Linked DNA regions of Daphnia pulex. The protein of the gene in region 1 interacts with the protein of each later gene in a pairwise test. Links are inferred from orthologs where the notes say so. Each region holds a gene or a part of one and is shown on either strand. Other genes may lie near its edges. The genes, in order: WASH complex subunit 3-like and heat shock factor-binding protein 1-like.

Region 1 (7,910 bases):
GCAGCAGCAGCAGCAGGGGACCGTCTGTTGGGGGGGAAATTGGACAGGCAACAACTGCTGCACACACACAACGTGGAACACTCTACTACTACTACTACCCCAGCCAGCAGGCACCTTTTTTCAACAATAACAATGGACACAATCCTTTGCTGGAGGATCCCAAAAGATCTCAGCTCAAAATCCAAACAAAATGGCGCCCCATCTTTTCTACCACTAGACGGTCAACGTTGAAAAATCAACGAACAACCAGCCAACAAATTTTCAAACTTGTCTGCCAAAATCTCGTTCACTTTTGACGTGAATCAAAATGCTCCCCCCCAAAACTATTTCAAAACTTTTAAAACTCTGTTCAAAATTACACATTGCAATTCAAAAAAGGCTGTGCGGTTGTCACTTAATTTAAAGTCTATTTCGGAATCAAATAAGAAATGAAACGGCAGTGAGTTCTTACCGGTGTAAACTTGTGCGAGAGAGTAAAAACGTCGAGAGAGAGAGCGACGAGAGTGTGTTGTGTTAGGTCACAGAGTCGGCAACCAACTAGCGTCGAAACAGGTTAAGGCACTGGGGTTTCTTTATCCCTGGGCAACGGTGAGGGCGACGGTCGAGCTGCTTACGAGAGCTGCGGAGCTTGTGATTAACAGTGAGGACTTGCGACGGTCCCACCCCGTGTAATATAGGGTGGAGAAGACGTGCGCGGGGGTCAAGTTCACAAAAAGAAAAAGGGAAAACAATCAGCAGACGGCGACACGTAACAGCAGACCATGGGACCCAATCGCCGTCGAGATTCCACATCCATCGGACCCTCCCTTTTGCGGCGAATCCTACAGCACCGGGGCGAACTTTTCTCTCCCCCTTTAACCAAACGTCGTTTTTACTTTTTTTCCTTCTCCACCACCACCAAAACGACCACGCCCTTTCTCTCTCTCTCTTGGAACTCGGGGGGGTTTAATTATAGACCGATGCGCTCAATAGCTATTTTTCACTCGGCGCCGACATTTGCTTCTCTCTCCGCTCAGCAGCAAATCGGTAACTCTTTATTATTTTTCTCATCTGGACGGCCTAGTTCTTCTCCAGCAACTGCCCTCATCCAACCAAACGAAACGGGAGATCGTGTGTCATCTTTTTATTTACCTTTCGGCGCGTGTGGCAACAAGAGAGGTGACGAATTCGTCACGCCCGATTCCAACCGTCTGCTGCTGCTTTGCTCTTATTTGGCTCAAATGATTTTATTTTTGAATTGTTTTCGCGGGTCTTTTGATTTTCTTTTTGGGTCGTGTGGCCAAACGATAAATACAGAGTGGATATTAGTACCTCGTGTGTGCATGATGCTATATGCACATTTTTTCTCCGCATTTTCTAAGTTTAGCCGTGAATCATCGCCTTGTGTGTTGGATATAGGATCGCTACAACTTACGCGGGATGGTCGTCGGTCGGAACCGGGATAAAATGAAACTTTTTTTTTTTTTTAAATTTTGCACGCGGGCAAAGGAATGTGACCTCGACGGACGAGGGCACGGTGACAGCCGACATTTTATTTTATTTTCTTGTGTAGTACTTCTTCTTCTGTCGAAAATAGTCGCGCGGGACTTTTGAAGATGAGAAAACGGCATCAGAGCGCGAGCGTTCTTATATAGGCGCTTCAAAATGTTTTCCCTATTAGAAAATTGTTATCCATTTGCGATAGGAGAAGTGCCAGCGGGCGAATGTCCCTCGCGGGTCTTGTGACGTGATCGATCGAGACGAAATCTGTCACCCCGGGGACGGACAAATGTCATCGTCAAAGAGAGCGCGTGCGTTTGCGGGAGTTATATCGGTTGGAGTGAGGGGGGATATAGGGGAAACCGTTTACCCGTGATATTGCCCGGATTCTCTGCAGCTCCTAGCCGTTCTTCAAAAAAAAAATCTTCCGAAAAAATATCCTTTTCGACCAATGCCCAAATATAGGGCCGGCTAGACGCTGCTACTATACCGGCGGAAGGATTCCAGACGCACAAATTGTGGGTGTGACTTGAGAAAGTTGCGCCTGGAACGAGAAGCATTTCTCTCTCTCCCGCGATGACGAAACCCCCCCGTCCTGCTAGATGATCAGCTCCTTTGTGGAACCACTATGGAAATGAGATGGCACGCCAACAGCCAGCCAAGGGACGGGGTCACGCAAAAAGCCATTTCCCGGCCGTGCCAGCTGGAAAGTGCCACACACTCGGGACACCGCCGCAAAAGGGTCAGCCGCCATTTAGCTAATGAGCTGTCTGATATTCTTGGCCTTTGAATTTTTGGTGTGGCCTCCTTTGAAGAATTTGTTAGACCTCAATATGAGATAGAAGGTTGGATCCCATAGATCCTTTTCAATTCCTGCAGGGCTCCTCCTTTCGACTGCTCCCAAGTAGGTGTTGAGCATCAAAGATATCGCTCCTGAATCGCTTTTAAAACCATCTAAAACCCCCGCGCGCACAAAAAGATCATCAGGAATCTTCATTCTTCTTCTCGTTTGTATTTTTCCCAACCGAAAATAGACGCGGTCCATTCCAGGATCGATTACACATCTTTGAGCCACCAAGGACAAAAGAAAAGCAAAAACAAAATTGCGGTGTGGCTCATCGCTGACGCCGTGCGTGCGTATCAACGTTCAAATGTTGTCCGTTAAGACTCATCGAATAGTTCTCCCAGCAATCCCTGGGCTTCAAATGAATCACACGCTTGTAGCCCAGCTGAAACATATCAAGCCAGTATATATCGTGTGTACAAGTAAGTAAGTGTGTGTGTGTGTGTTTGTCTTGAAGTTGTCGGGACGATCGACACCCACCGCGCCCGCATCACCGACACAAATAGAGTCGTGAGTCAGTCGCTAGGTAAAAAGAGGCTCTAAGTTTAGCACGGCCGTGCTCCACATTTCGCTCCTGCCACGGACGCTAGTCGTCGACGGTCTCCGTTTATAAAAGAAAAGAAACTCAAAATCGGGTCCAATGGGCTGCTACTGTTGCCCGCCGGATGCCCCCACACCACACACTCTGCGAGCTAGAAGAAATGGGGTTCTTGTTATTTTCCAAATGGGCCAAAGTTTTTCTCTTCTTGCCACTCGGACCTATACATATAAGAGACCAATGTTTACATTTGAATGTTATGTTACGATATCCAAGAGTGTTGTGTGTGTGTATAGGTTTCGTGGAAAATGTTTGACTCTAGGAGAAAAGAGCTCCAAGTTTCTTCTTTTCTTTTTCTCCAGAGTTCCGAGGTGTACAGCTGGGCGACGAGCTTGTTTTAAAATTAAACTCGCCGGGTCCGTGTTATCTAAAAATACACCACCCCTTTTTAGTTGCATTTCATTTTATTGACTCGACTGGGAGAGGATGAAAAAAAAAATAAAAATTTAAAAAAACCAACCCAACCGACGATTTGCAGCACTAACACGATATTAGAGGCCTGTTTGTGTCATTGTCAAATCAATATGCGGGGGGGGCTTTGATACGTCGAAACTGCTGGATCTGCCGAGTGGTGGGGTTGGCTGTCGGGATCCTCGTGTGGGCTGTCCGGAGAGATCATCTCTCCCGTCTAACGCACAACTGGAAGCTTTTCTCAAGGACGTACGAGTCTTGGCAATCGGCCTGAGTGCTGGGCCCGTGACTCTTTTTCTTGACATGCATTATTCAAGAGTGTTGTTGTTGTTGTTGTGGTATATTGTCTATACGTGGGGCCAAACATATAAATCATCACGCGTTCGGACTCTCTCATCAAGGCTCTCCGGTTACAACCGTCGATCGAGAATTGATTATGTCTATGTATGATCGGAATCCTTTCTCCATGCATCAAGTATACAGGCACGATAAGACTGAAATTTCATAAGTCTCGGGGAAAATGATTAATTGTTATTTGTGTTAATAGTCGTCGCTGTTTGATTCTTCGTCGTCGTCGGAGCTCGAATGGGTTGATCGCGGTGCTGGTGGGGCCTTGGTGACGTCAACTTTGCCGCTGTTGAGCAGCGATGGATCGTAACCTTCTGCTCGCATTTTCTGCTCGACGGCCATTAACGGAACCCCAAAGGCAAGCATTTTGACGAACCGAAGGATTTCGGGATTCGGAGGCGCCACCGCCGTCTGGTGGACGCTAGAAACATCTTCAGGAAAGACTGGTGGAACGGCGGATGGAAGGATCTGAACGCTTGCAGCCACTGGTACAGATTCTGAGCTGGTGGCAGGCACTGTAGGTGGGATGGCCGGTATTGAAGTAGTTTCCAGTGCAGGAACTGAAGCCAACTGTTTTCAAAAGAAAAAAGAATCAGCCATTCATTGTCTATAAATGATAAACATACCCCAAAGTGATACACTTGAGTGAGTTGGCTCGACATGTATTGTTAAATAACTGAGTAGGTATGGTCTTGCTTAATCTAAATTTGTTTCTCATGAAAATTTAATTTCATACCAATTTTCCCTATTTATGCATCTTTAAAGAAGAGCTGGTGGAATTGAAATGTTTAAATGAAGGAATTTACCTTTGCTTCGAGAATGGCTAATGTGGCTTCAACATCTTGTAGTCGAAAGTTGAGATCCAGCAATTTGGTATCACATATAATTGCAAATTTGTTTAGTAACTGAACTGAATTGGAAACAAACTGGTTGAAATAGCTCAAAATTCTTTTAGTTTCGATGGGCGGAACCTGTCAAACATTAAAATGTGTTACTGCCATCATCCAATTTAAACGAAAATGAAAAATACAAACGAACCGAAGAGAACTCGACAGTAGGACCGAAAAAAGGTAGTCCTTTATTTTCCATCCCTTAGTATTTCTTCCTTGATTAGAACGACGTGGAATATACGAATTATTAAATCACATCCATGGGATAAATGTCGCGTTTGATTGTTTTGTTTTTCTTCTAGCAGACGACACAGAATCCATCCCCTTCAGGCGCAGCGGTCGAATTATTTGAGGAACAAGGCAACTCTGTTGTTCACTTGCAATCCGGAGGAGAGAATTCTGTCTCATTTCCACTTCGTTCGCCTGTTCGTCCGAAAATGGTATAGTCTCGTCGATTTAATATCTCGCAACATCCTTTGATATTTAACCATCTTATATGTTTATATAGCATCTCTTTTTGCAGTAGAATTCGATGATGTTTATTAGCATTCTGTGTCAATTGGTAGACTTTTCGTTTGACTGGTATAAAATCTGTTTTGTCACTCTGTCTGTCATATGGATACCTTGACTAGACATGTTATTTTGACTGTTAATACTAGCATTACTTAAAAGTTTAAGGTGTAAATTTCTCTTTGTAGTTGTAAGTATGTGGTTGTTAAGTATGTTGTGCATTTAAACTGTCATAATTTGTTGTCGAAAACACCGGCTCATGACTTGTTGATCTCGTTTTAGGTGAACGTACCAAAGAGTCGTCGCACCTACTGCAAAAAATGCAAGACCCACAAGGTCCACAAAGTGACGCAGTACAAGAAATCCAAGGAGCGTAGTGCTGCCCAGGGTCGTCGTCGTTACGACAGAAAACAAAAGGGTTATGGTGGTCAAACCAAACCTATTTTCAGGAAGAAGGTATGAAGACTTAAAGATTGGTTCACTTGAATTGTGTACTAATGCTTCTCATTGTTGAATTACGCAGGCCAAGACCACTAAAAAGATTGTCCTGAGGATGGAGTGCTCAGAATGCAAAGTCCGCAAGCAGATCCCCCTCAAGCGTTGCAAGCACTTTGAACTTGGAGGTGACAAGAAGAGGAAGGGACAGATGATTCAGTTCTAGACTGTTTGTCATCACCTTGTGCTGGCCAATACAACATCTTTGGCGCCTATAGTCTGTTATTAGTCTTCATTACTTTCCTTAATCCCTATGATAATGTAGGGAAATGGCTCCATGCGAGACATTTGGGTATTTATTGATTTCAAATATTTGCTAGGTGAAAAATCAACCAATTGATTCCAAGTATTCATGTGAGAAATCTGCTAGCTTTAGTTAAATCTAGCTTTGCTCTTAGTAGTTAAGAGTTGCCTTAGTTTTTATCCTAATTAGCTCTTGAAAAGTAGTGTGAAGCCCATCACGCCATCTGTGAGTGATGATTCCAACTCGACACCACAATCGGACGGTTAGACTGAACGCTTCGATCGTCTAAAAAGCGATAAGGAAAACTCTTCGTCATTGGTTGACGCGTTCGCGGTGTACATGTCGAAGAGAAAACGAAGATTGTAGATGGCGAGAGAACAAGAATAGAAAAAGAGTGAAGCATTCAATGGCGTCTGTTAAAATGCGTGTGAACGAGTTTCCGGTCATTCTTAGTGTACGAGAATACTTGAAAAATGTCGTTGAAGAGTAAATAATTTCGAAAAAAAAGAAATGACAAGTGTGTTATAAACAAGTCGGTTACGAATTATAAGAGTTTTTCCATTTATCTGTTTGATGCAAACAATCTAGTTGTAGACCACGCTTTGAGCGTCTGTAGGGGATAAAGAGAAGATAAGGCTATTATCTTTTAGTTGGAAGAACGTCAACTACCCGGTATTTTCGGGAGATGAGGGAGAGACGTGAGATGAGCGTTTCTTTGTTTTCTGGTTCGCGCGGATTCTCAATCCGCCGCCTAGACAACTACTACCCATGATATATAAACCAGTAAAAATATGGCCGGTAGAGGGGTTAAAAAATCACGCTGGTGGTGCAACCGACGTCTAGTGACGTGCTAGTTACTAATCTGCTTCGGCGAGTTTCTCATTTATCTTTCGGCTAACCGATTCGAAAACAAGAGTTTTATTTTTAATTCGAAAAATTTCAGTGGGAAAGTTTCCGAGTTGAAAATCCCAAGTACGAGAGTGAGACCACGCTACACAGAACCGGCTTTTTCTCGCTATGCTTGAGGGGATATTCGACTTGGTTCTTTTTTGACCACCCCACGCTTCACTCATTGAGTATACCGGTATAGTATAGTAGTGTATATATGCATACATGCGAGAGATATATATATATATTTTAATACTGGTGGTAATACCTTGGAAGACCTAGGAATGGAGAGAAGGAAGGGGAAAAATGGACTCTCCAAGCAGAGCCATCTGGGTAGCAGCGTGGCTAGCCCAGCGCATATAATATATCGACACGGCTATATGTTCTCTTTGGAGAGCCGAGTTTTTTAAGGTACCTTTTTCCAACCCCACCCTACCACCCCCTCTACCCCCCTCTCTCCCCATAATGAAAAGAGTGGAATGGGCGGAGTTTATCCAGCTGGAGCGCTGGTATACAACAGGGGTCTTGTGATTCGATCTAGACGCCACGAAATGCAAAAGGGACGCGCTTTGCCACCGAAAACCCGAGGCTAAGGACAACCCCCCCGCTAGAGGCCGATACAAGGCGATGCAAGTCACCAAAGACTTGGGGCCCCACCAGTGTGCTCTACACCGTCCCGTCTATAACACCTCGAAAGCAGAGACTCTTGCGAACGCGCCAAACTTCCTTTTTTAAGGCACTCTCCATCTTCTCTTAGTCTTTTTTAAAATAATTTTTCGAACCGGTCGAGCAAAATCCACTCGATTTCGTCTCACTTAAATATTCACGCTCAACCAACCAACAACAACACACCTCCAAACAAAATGAGTTCCAAGGAAGCAACGAAGGAAGTTGAAGCCGACGAAGTCATCGCCGCCGACGCCAAGAAAGATGCAGTCAAAGGCACAAAACGGCCAGCAGAAGTAAGTTCCATCTTTTTGTTATTTACTACATTGTCTTCATGTCGGCTCTGAATAAGTCTGTAACGAGGAAATTTGTTGGAAAAGAGGGGTTTCGTTATGGCTAAATTAAGGATCAACTCGAGAACCCACGCGCCGCGTGCTTGCCGCCATTTGTGTGTGTGTGTGTGTGTATGTGTGTAGTGTGTTGAGTGCGTGTGTCTGGGGCCGGCTTGAGCCCCACGCTCTATCCCGTCGCCATGAC
Region 2 (7,703 bases), on another chromosome or scaffold:
ATGATATACAGAAAAACCAGTTTCCCTCCAAGTCCATCTAGAAATATTCGTGAGCAGCTTCTGTTTTTTGGTCTCTTTTTTTTATTTTCTCCCCTCTGATCGAATAAGATCGTCAACTGGTTTATTGGGATGCCTCTGGCGGACTCCGTGTCTACCGTGCCACGACCAACCAATCACTCGTCCTCGTACCTCCTCATGTTGTGGTACCATTTCAACAAAACTATTTAAACATTTTTCATAGCTGCTCAGCTCCATTTCGATTGATCACGTCCACGTTTCTTCTTTTTGTTTTTATTATTTGACGATGAAATAAGTCGCAGTGGAGAGCGGACGAATTTTGGCCAAGTTACGACGGCCGTTACGTTCTCCTTCGTCAGCACCACACGGGCGACCCGCAGAGCGAAGGCGAACTCTTTTACGGCTGCCATCAGCCGCAGCGCTATTACGCCGTCTACGACACACTAGAAAAGTGAATAGCAATTTTTCTTTTATTCGCCTTTTGGGCCTAGGCCCACGGCTCTTTGATCTTGATTGAATTTACGTTTCATCTCCGACAGAGATTTGTGGAAAATACGACTGGAAGCGGAAGAACTGCAACCGACTCGTTTGGGATTCGTTGGATGGGCAGGGCGATCCAACCGACTTTACGCCATTTATCGCAATAGGTATTTAACTATAGCCATTTGCTTTTGTAACGAGCGTCGAAACTATTTTAAAATTTCGATTTGGAAACAACCTATTTTTTTTCTCGTTGCTCAACATTTTTGGGCGACACCAGAATCTTTTGGACTAGTGATGCCACCAGCCGGAGCGGATGGAAACTACGAGGTGCAAACGACGACCAGTTTCCTTCGGAGCCGGAACAAGACTTTTTCTGTACCGGATTACCCGATTGGACATATTCAGGTTTCTGTTTTTGTTGTTTTGTTCGTCCTTGTGTTTTCCACGACTTTTTGGTTTGTACATTTGTTCGTTTTGACCAGTAATCGTTTTTTTCCCCTTCTACTTTCTACAGAAGGAGTGACACGCTGGCGAAACCTTATGTGGCCGAACGATGGCGGCGATTGGCTAATTTACGCAACCTTGAATTCTAGCCAGTGTCACCATTTGGATTTCATCGAATATTTAGCGGACCGTTCGCGGGCCAGTAGCATTCGTCACGCTGTGGTACAAACAACATTCCATCCTTCTATGTAGCAACAACATGTAGACAAAGAAAGAGAGAGAGAGAGAGAGGAGTTGATGATTACTCATTGGTTGTCTGACTCTTGGTTTGAAAGCCAGGGGGCCAGTTGCCCGAAATCCAGTTGAAGTTGATCCATCTCGAGAGCAATTCAGAGACCCAATTGGCCATCAGCCAGTTGGCTAACCAGAGGTATGACCAGATCCCGTCGAATCGATCAAAAGCTCCCTCATTAATTGGAACGACAGGCAATGGATGTTGGTTCAAGTCGAGTGGCTGGACGCGATTGGCTTCGTGACGGCCTGGATGACCCGCAATCAGAACGAATTCAGAGTGTTCCACTGCCAGGTGGCCGCCGTGCCTGGATGCAGCCAAGTACGTACCCGGGCTTTTCTTTCGTCCAACATCATTCACAAGTTTTCAATTAGCCATTGAGTGGGCCTGCCCCAATTTGAAAATTGTAGATTATTGTCGAAGAAGCTGTCGCTGGACGCTGGCTGGCCTCCCCGTCGCTGTACCCCTCGCCCAGCGGTGACAGCGGCTTCATTTTGGCAATCTCAAACATGGGCCAAGCGGAAGACCAGCGTCTCGTTTATCACAAATCGCCTTGGCACAAATTTGTTTCGGTTGACCTCAACCAATTAGAAGTCAACCGCATACTAGGCTGGGATGAAGCGAACGACACCACGTACTTCTGCATTCAAATCTTTAATTTAGATCGGACGTGATATTTGAATAATTTCCATTTTAGGTACGTGTTAGCCACTCCAACAAGCGAGCCCCAAAAGAGGCATGTGTATCGCGTGAACGGGGCCACGACAGAATGTCTCAGCTGTCAAATAATGGCCGACAATTGCAACTTTGTCGACGCCAAATTCGAACCGAAAAACACAGATTTCTACGAACTGCAGTGCCTAGGGCCTCACATTCCCAGTGTTCACGTTTTGACTGCCGACGACAGTGAAATTCTCGCTACACTTCTGCAGGTTGCCGATGATGGCGAACTGCGAGACCTTCTCGAACATCTGACGCCAACGATCAAATATTTAACAATTCCGCTCGAAAATGGAGGTGTCGGAAGGGTCCAGCTGTTACTACCCCGTAGCTGGAACGAGAACGTTTACCATAAACTGCGCTACCCTCTTATTATTCAAACGTAAAATACATAATTCTCGTAATTTTAAATTTAATAAAGAAAAATAACCTTTGGATTTTTTTTTTTAGCTTGGATTGGAATGCTGGGGACGCCTTGACTGACCAGTGGCGAAAAGATTGGCCCACGTACTTTACTTTAACTCGGCAAGTCATATACGCTAGGATAAGCGGACGGGACAGGTCAAATAAGTATGGATCTCTTCAGACTGGCGTAAATGACCTTCTTACTGTTGTCAAGTAAACGAATCTGACTCAAATCCTTGTTGTTCTGATGATAACGTTATTACATCCACTTGTCCAGGTTTCTCATGGAAGAGCTGAACCACGTTGACAGGCAAGCAGTTGTTCTAATTGGCAAAGGGATCGGTGGTTATCTTGCAACTATGATGATGGCAATGGTGGCCAACGAGGAAGAAGAAATTTTCAAATGTGGCATCGTTATTTCGCCCACTACCGAATGGTCCATATACGGTACGTACTTTTGCACTATAGAAAAATAGCATCCCAATGAAACTATTTGTTTGCTCTACTCAGAGGCAAGCATTGCTGAAAGATACTTGGGAGATGCGTCTGATCAGCACAATTATGTCCTGTCAAAAACAGACAATCACATCCACTTGATTAAAAATGATACAATACTATTAATGGACTCGTTTCCATACAACCCGGTTCAACATTTTCAATCCGTGAAATTCAACTCTCAGTTGACTAAAGCAGGCACTCGTTTCGATTACAAAGTAAGCTAGTCCTAGATGAATGTTCACTCAGCATTTTTCATGATATATTTATTGGAATTTCAGACTTATCCTCAGGCTGGGATTAAGAATATGATTGAATACCATTCTTATCTTTCCTTGGAACATTTCATTACACAATGTCTGCAAAAATGATTGTTAACATAATGTATCATGGTGGTGGATGAATAAAAGTTTATAGTACAGCAGATTCTTTTAAAAAGAATTGCTTACATGGTGCAACTAGTGAATAATGTGCAAAAAATCCAGTATTTCTTGAGGGCTGTGATGTTATGACCAAAGTTCTACTTTGGGGGTCCTTCGACTCCAGATTGAGTGACAAGATCTGCAATGTTCCTCTCTAAATCATCAATACGGTTTCCCATATCATCAAGTGAAAACTGGGGGTTAAGGAAAATGCTTTTGATATAATAAGAAATTTAAAAAAAAAAATTAAATTAATTTAGTGTAAAAGGATATTTCTTGAAAGCACTTGATCCGAAATAGTTTGAAATCTTTCTTGCATTTGCTGCAGAAGAAGTTCAACCTGCATAATTCAGAAAGAAAATGGTATAAATTAACAAAATAAATTTTCCTGAGAAAGTGTAGCGTATTTACATAGCGAGTGAGATCTTGAACGTTTTTTAAATCAGGAGTACTGGACTGTGGATTGGCTGTGGTAATACTAGTCACTGAATCGCGAACGTTACTTCCCGAACTTTCATTGTTACTGAGACTTGCACTCACATTCAGTTCAGTAGAAACATCAGACGGATACTCCGAGCTGGCGCTCAATTTGTTATTATCAGCCATTTTCTCTCAAATCTTGCTTTAAAATAGACTAGACCCTGAAGAGACGCAAGAGAGAGACCAGATTCAGCTGAAAAAAGAAAACAATTGTGACGTTTCCATGGAAACAGCTGGCATTGATTGAGACACTGTTGTCTTTTCACTTTGGATTTATAAAGGTTTATTTTCTCATTAATCATTACATTTTTCAATTCAGTAAATTAATTCATGTTTAATGGATAATTTTATCAATCAATAATTGGCACTCACAATCTGATAAATTTTGTATTCATTTGTTTGGAAGTGGCAATCATTTCACATTTTTTTACCGCTTCATCGTCTGCTCGTTGCCTCGTTCAGTGATTCATCATTTACCGCGAAAATTTCATGAAATCTCGATCCTGCTTTATTTCCATGAAACATATACTTAACCTACCACCCATAATATCCTTTTCGTTTTAAATGGCGGATGAACAAGAAAAAAAACAAGTATTGCAATATTTGCTTTACAAGCCTTTGATATCTAGTAAAGAACTGGAGAAAATTTATGCCACTGTTTTTAAAAGTATGTCCATAAGCTTTTCTATTCAAGTTATCAAACAAATATATATGATTTACCATGACATGTTTTAGACCAGGCACGAGGAAATGAAATCAGAGATCTTATAAAATCCTTAAATGATTTGCTCAAGCCTGCCCAGCTTGCTGTCAAATCAAGGTTGTGCGAAGACAATAATGATGAATATTTCGCTCTGATCAGTTTGATTGAAAGTGAAGCAGCCAAGTAATGTTTTCCCTTTTTGATAAAATTATATGTTTCTGATTAAGTATTTTAAGTTTACAGGCACACATCAGAATTTTCTGCTGCTGAGTTGGACCTATTCAAGTGGATCATGAAAGAAATCATTTCATCGGAAACTGGCTCAGTTTCTTCCACAGACTGTATAAATCACAGCGCAGACATTCCTAAACTTAGCAAAACAGATGCTCAAAAAACTTTGGATAAGTTCTTTGCTGCACAGTGGTTAAAGGAGGTATTCATTCTTTATTTTTATCCTCAATGTTATTTTTATTTTTTAAATTACATATTCATTTGTACAGAGAGAGGGAGAAGTATCATTTACAGTTAGAACGTTGTTGGAGATGGAGCCCGTGTTGAAAAAACTAGGCGACGATCTCGGAGACTGCGTTATCTGCAACAAACTTGCTGTTAAGGTGTGGAGAGACTATTTTTGGCGTATTGCTTTTTTTTAAATTTCTTTTCTTTATTTCTTTTCATTAATTTAATTCTGACGTAGAAATTTGTTTGCCCGGAGACGTCATGTGGTGCGAAATTTCATCGCTATTGCATTTCAAAGCTGAAATTAAAATGCCCAAATTGTAACCGAGTATTGTCCGGTTTGGATGATGAAAATAATCTCTCCCAGACTTTTGCTTCGCAAGCCCTATCGCAAACGCCATCCGCATCGTCCAGCGAAGAGCCACGCCGTAGGAGAAGTGGTGTTAGACGAGGAAGAAGTGCTGTGGAGTCTGACAGCGATTAGGTCATCAGAACTGTAAGTTTTTCATGCATATCCTGTAATTTCTAAACGAGCTGGGGAACCCGAATCGAAGTAGGGCTTTTTCATTGATGATAAAAACTAGTTTTTCCTTTTCTTTGTGTGTCGTTGTGTCGTTATTAACAACCATCCTCACAAATCTTTTAATAGATACTACTCGTCAATTTGTGGGTGTCGAGAAAGCGAGACGGACAGGGCCATATCCGTAAATTCGTTACGACTTTATATAGATAACCATCAAGTGCATCAGCACTTTCTAGGATACAACAGTAACTTCCTCGTAATGGTGGGTGGCTCGTCAAAACCTTCGCGCTTCTGCTTATTAGCCTACATTCCCGTGCTTGATGACCCGGTAGTGTATAGATTAGTTTGACGTAAAATATGAGTCTCTGGTGAAAGCGCCGGCCCTGACGTACGAAGTAGCCTCAATCGTGTCCGATGGACATCCAAGGCCGAAATGTGCAACAAGAGTCTTTTCTCCGTACTACCTTCGCCAGTAGATGTAATTTGGTGTTGTCGGTAATTCAAGTTGATGGAGCTGCGCTAGGAATGTCATCATCTCTTGCCAGCGAAACGAATTTGGCCTAATGTAAGATTGTAAAAGACCTGATTAGCAGACTCAGCGTTGATGAGAAAACGGGGGAGAAGAGGAGAAAACAGATAACATGCGTAGAAATAACAAAAAACCCAAAGAGCACGAAGGAGAAAAAATAGAGCGACCGAATGACGACCCGGGTATGGCCAGGCACGGTCGGCTCTGTCAGGGACTAGTACCGTTAGAATTTTCCACATCGTCCTTTGTTTTTCTTCCCTTTTTGTCTGTTTTTTTTTCTCTCAACAAAGCGCACGCCTCATTACTTCCAATCTCACCTTTTGGCCAATTTCCCATATCCCTTTGCCACCCTTGTGTATATTTGAGTGCTGGTGTGTTTTTTTTCTTTCTTCCGCAAGGCCGTCACATGCAACGATCGAGTCAGCAGCAACACAAACAAAAAAAAAACTTCCCCCGCATCGAATAATAATAAATAAATTTCCTATAGAGTTGAGCATTGGTGACTACAGAACAAAAGAAACCACACTTTTCGGGACGAGTCGCGCTGAACTGTTGAGTGAGAAACCCCTTCAGCTGCTGTTGGTCGCCTATGGTTATACGGTCCAGCGCCAACATCAACAGGTGAATGATAGAGTATGGATTCATCGCATGTAATAACCGCACGTAGGCAGAACCACATTTTTCTAAAACTCGTACACTATACAATTACGCACGGCGACGTGTCCTTTCATCGCTATAGGGACACCTTCTCTAAAGTAAATGTGCTGTGTATAGTTAAGACTTTATGTAGTTAAGCTACATTTATTCTTTCTTGGCTGTTTTTTTTTTTTTTTTTTAATATCCTGTCCTATCGAACTAGAATTCGCCATTTGTGAAGCTGAGAACGGGCCAAAAGAAAACGGCAGCATCTGTCCAATGTGTCACACAAGTAGGTTCTAGTTTGTCCAAAGTTATTTCACGTTCCTTGCTGTGTGCCATTACATTGTTTAATGGTCATTTCGGGTGCTGTCGGTCGTCACAGATGTGATCGTATGTTGCAGTTAGATACGTTCTGTGGGTTTATACGAGCGCATATATTCGACTATTTCATTCTTCTTCTTTTTTTTTGTGTGTGTGTGTCCGGCGTCATCATCCCGTTGGATGGGACGATATAGGCTATACTTAATTTTATTTCTTTCCCTTGCGGCTTGTTTTTGGGTTATTGAATGTAACAAAAAGGGCGGACCATTTAGCAAATGTACGAAATTCCCGTGGACGGTTGAACTGGCCGACTACATTTTGCTTTCTTGGGTTAGATCAGGGAAATCATTTCAATTCATTCAAATTACATTTTGGTATGTTTGTTGGACAAATGCGGGACTTTTTTGTTGCTGTTTTCTGTCTGAACTGGATGGAAATGTTCCCACGATCCCACTCCCGTATACACAATGCAATTGTATTAGCCATTAGTCCGTGTGTGCCTTGCTCAATCCCGACATTTTTCATGTGTCTGTCTCTCCCCTCTTTTCTCAGGAGCCCCTTTTGTTTTTTGTGTCTTTTTTACGATTCATTTTCCACGATTGCGCCATTGCGTGGACTCGGAAAGAGTTTGGTGCACTGCAAACGCACATATGGGTCATCGCATAGACTCGGTCACTAAATGTACAGTACGTAAAACACGATGTACTCGTTTTGTTATTTGGCTACAAAACTGAAACTCCCTTGTGACTTGTGTCAGTTTTGGTGTGGGG

Evidence for each region.
Region 2: the proteins of WASH complex subunit 3-like (region 1) and heat shock factor-binding protein 1-like interact in a two-hybrid assay, tested with the Caenorhabditis elegans proteins (2 studies listed by BioGRID). The link is inferred for Daphnia pulex from reciprocal best matches to the Caenorhabditis elegans genes ddl-1 and hsb-1.

Annotation. Positions count from the first base shown.
Region 1 is NC_060025.1:878,092-886,001, reverse strand, and holds WASH complex subunit 3-like, read right to left. Parts: upstream 4,880-7,910; 5' UTR 4,770-4,879; coding exon 4,719-4,769; exon of another isoform or gene 4,652-4,718; coding exon 4,487-4,651; exon of another isoform or gene 4,446-4,486; intron 4,365-4,445; exon of another isoform or gene 4,251-4,364; coding exon 3,873-4,250; 3' UTR 3,758-3,872; downstream 1-3,757. Other genes in the region: 60S ribosomal protein L44, read left to right, coding at 5,008-5,010, 5,363-5,536, 5,604-5,741; bacchus-like, read left to right, coding at 7,571-7,669. UniProt on the Caenorhabditis elegans protein: Acts as a component of the WASH core complex that functions as a nucleation-promoting factor (NPF) at the surface of endosomes, where it recruits and activates the Arp2/3 complex to induce actin polymerization, playing a key role in the fission of tubules that serve as transport intermediates during endosome sorting.
Region 2 is NC_060020.1:1,196,201-1,203,903, forward strand, and holds heat shock factor-binding protein 1-like, read right to left. Parts: upstream 3,972-7,703; 5' UTR 3,886-3,971; coding exon 3,691-3,885; intron 3,620-3,690; coding exon 3,553-3,619; intron 3,467-3,552; coding exon 3,378-3,466; 3' UTR 3,229-3,377; coding exon of another isoform or gene 3,139-3,228; 3' UTR 3,109-3,138; downstream 1-3,108. Other genes in the region: inactive dipeptidyl peptidase 10-like, read left to right, coding at 109-203, 315-469, 558-665, 779-906, 1,016-1,167, 1,281-1,375, 1,432-1,558, 1,648-1,871 and 5 more; non-structural maintenance of chromosomes element 1 homolog, read left to right, coding at 4,324-4,426, 4,495-4,645, 4,706-4,895, 4,963-5,076, 5,160-5,405.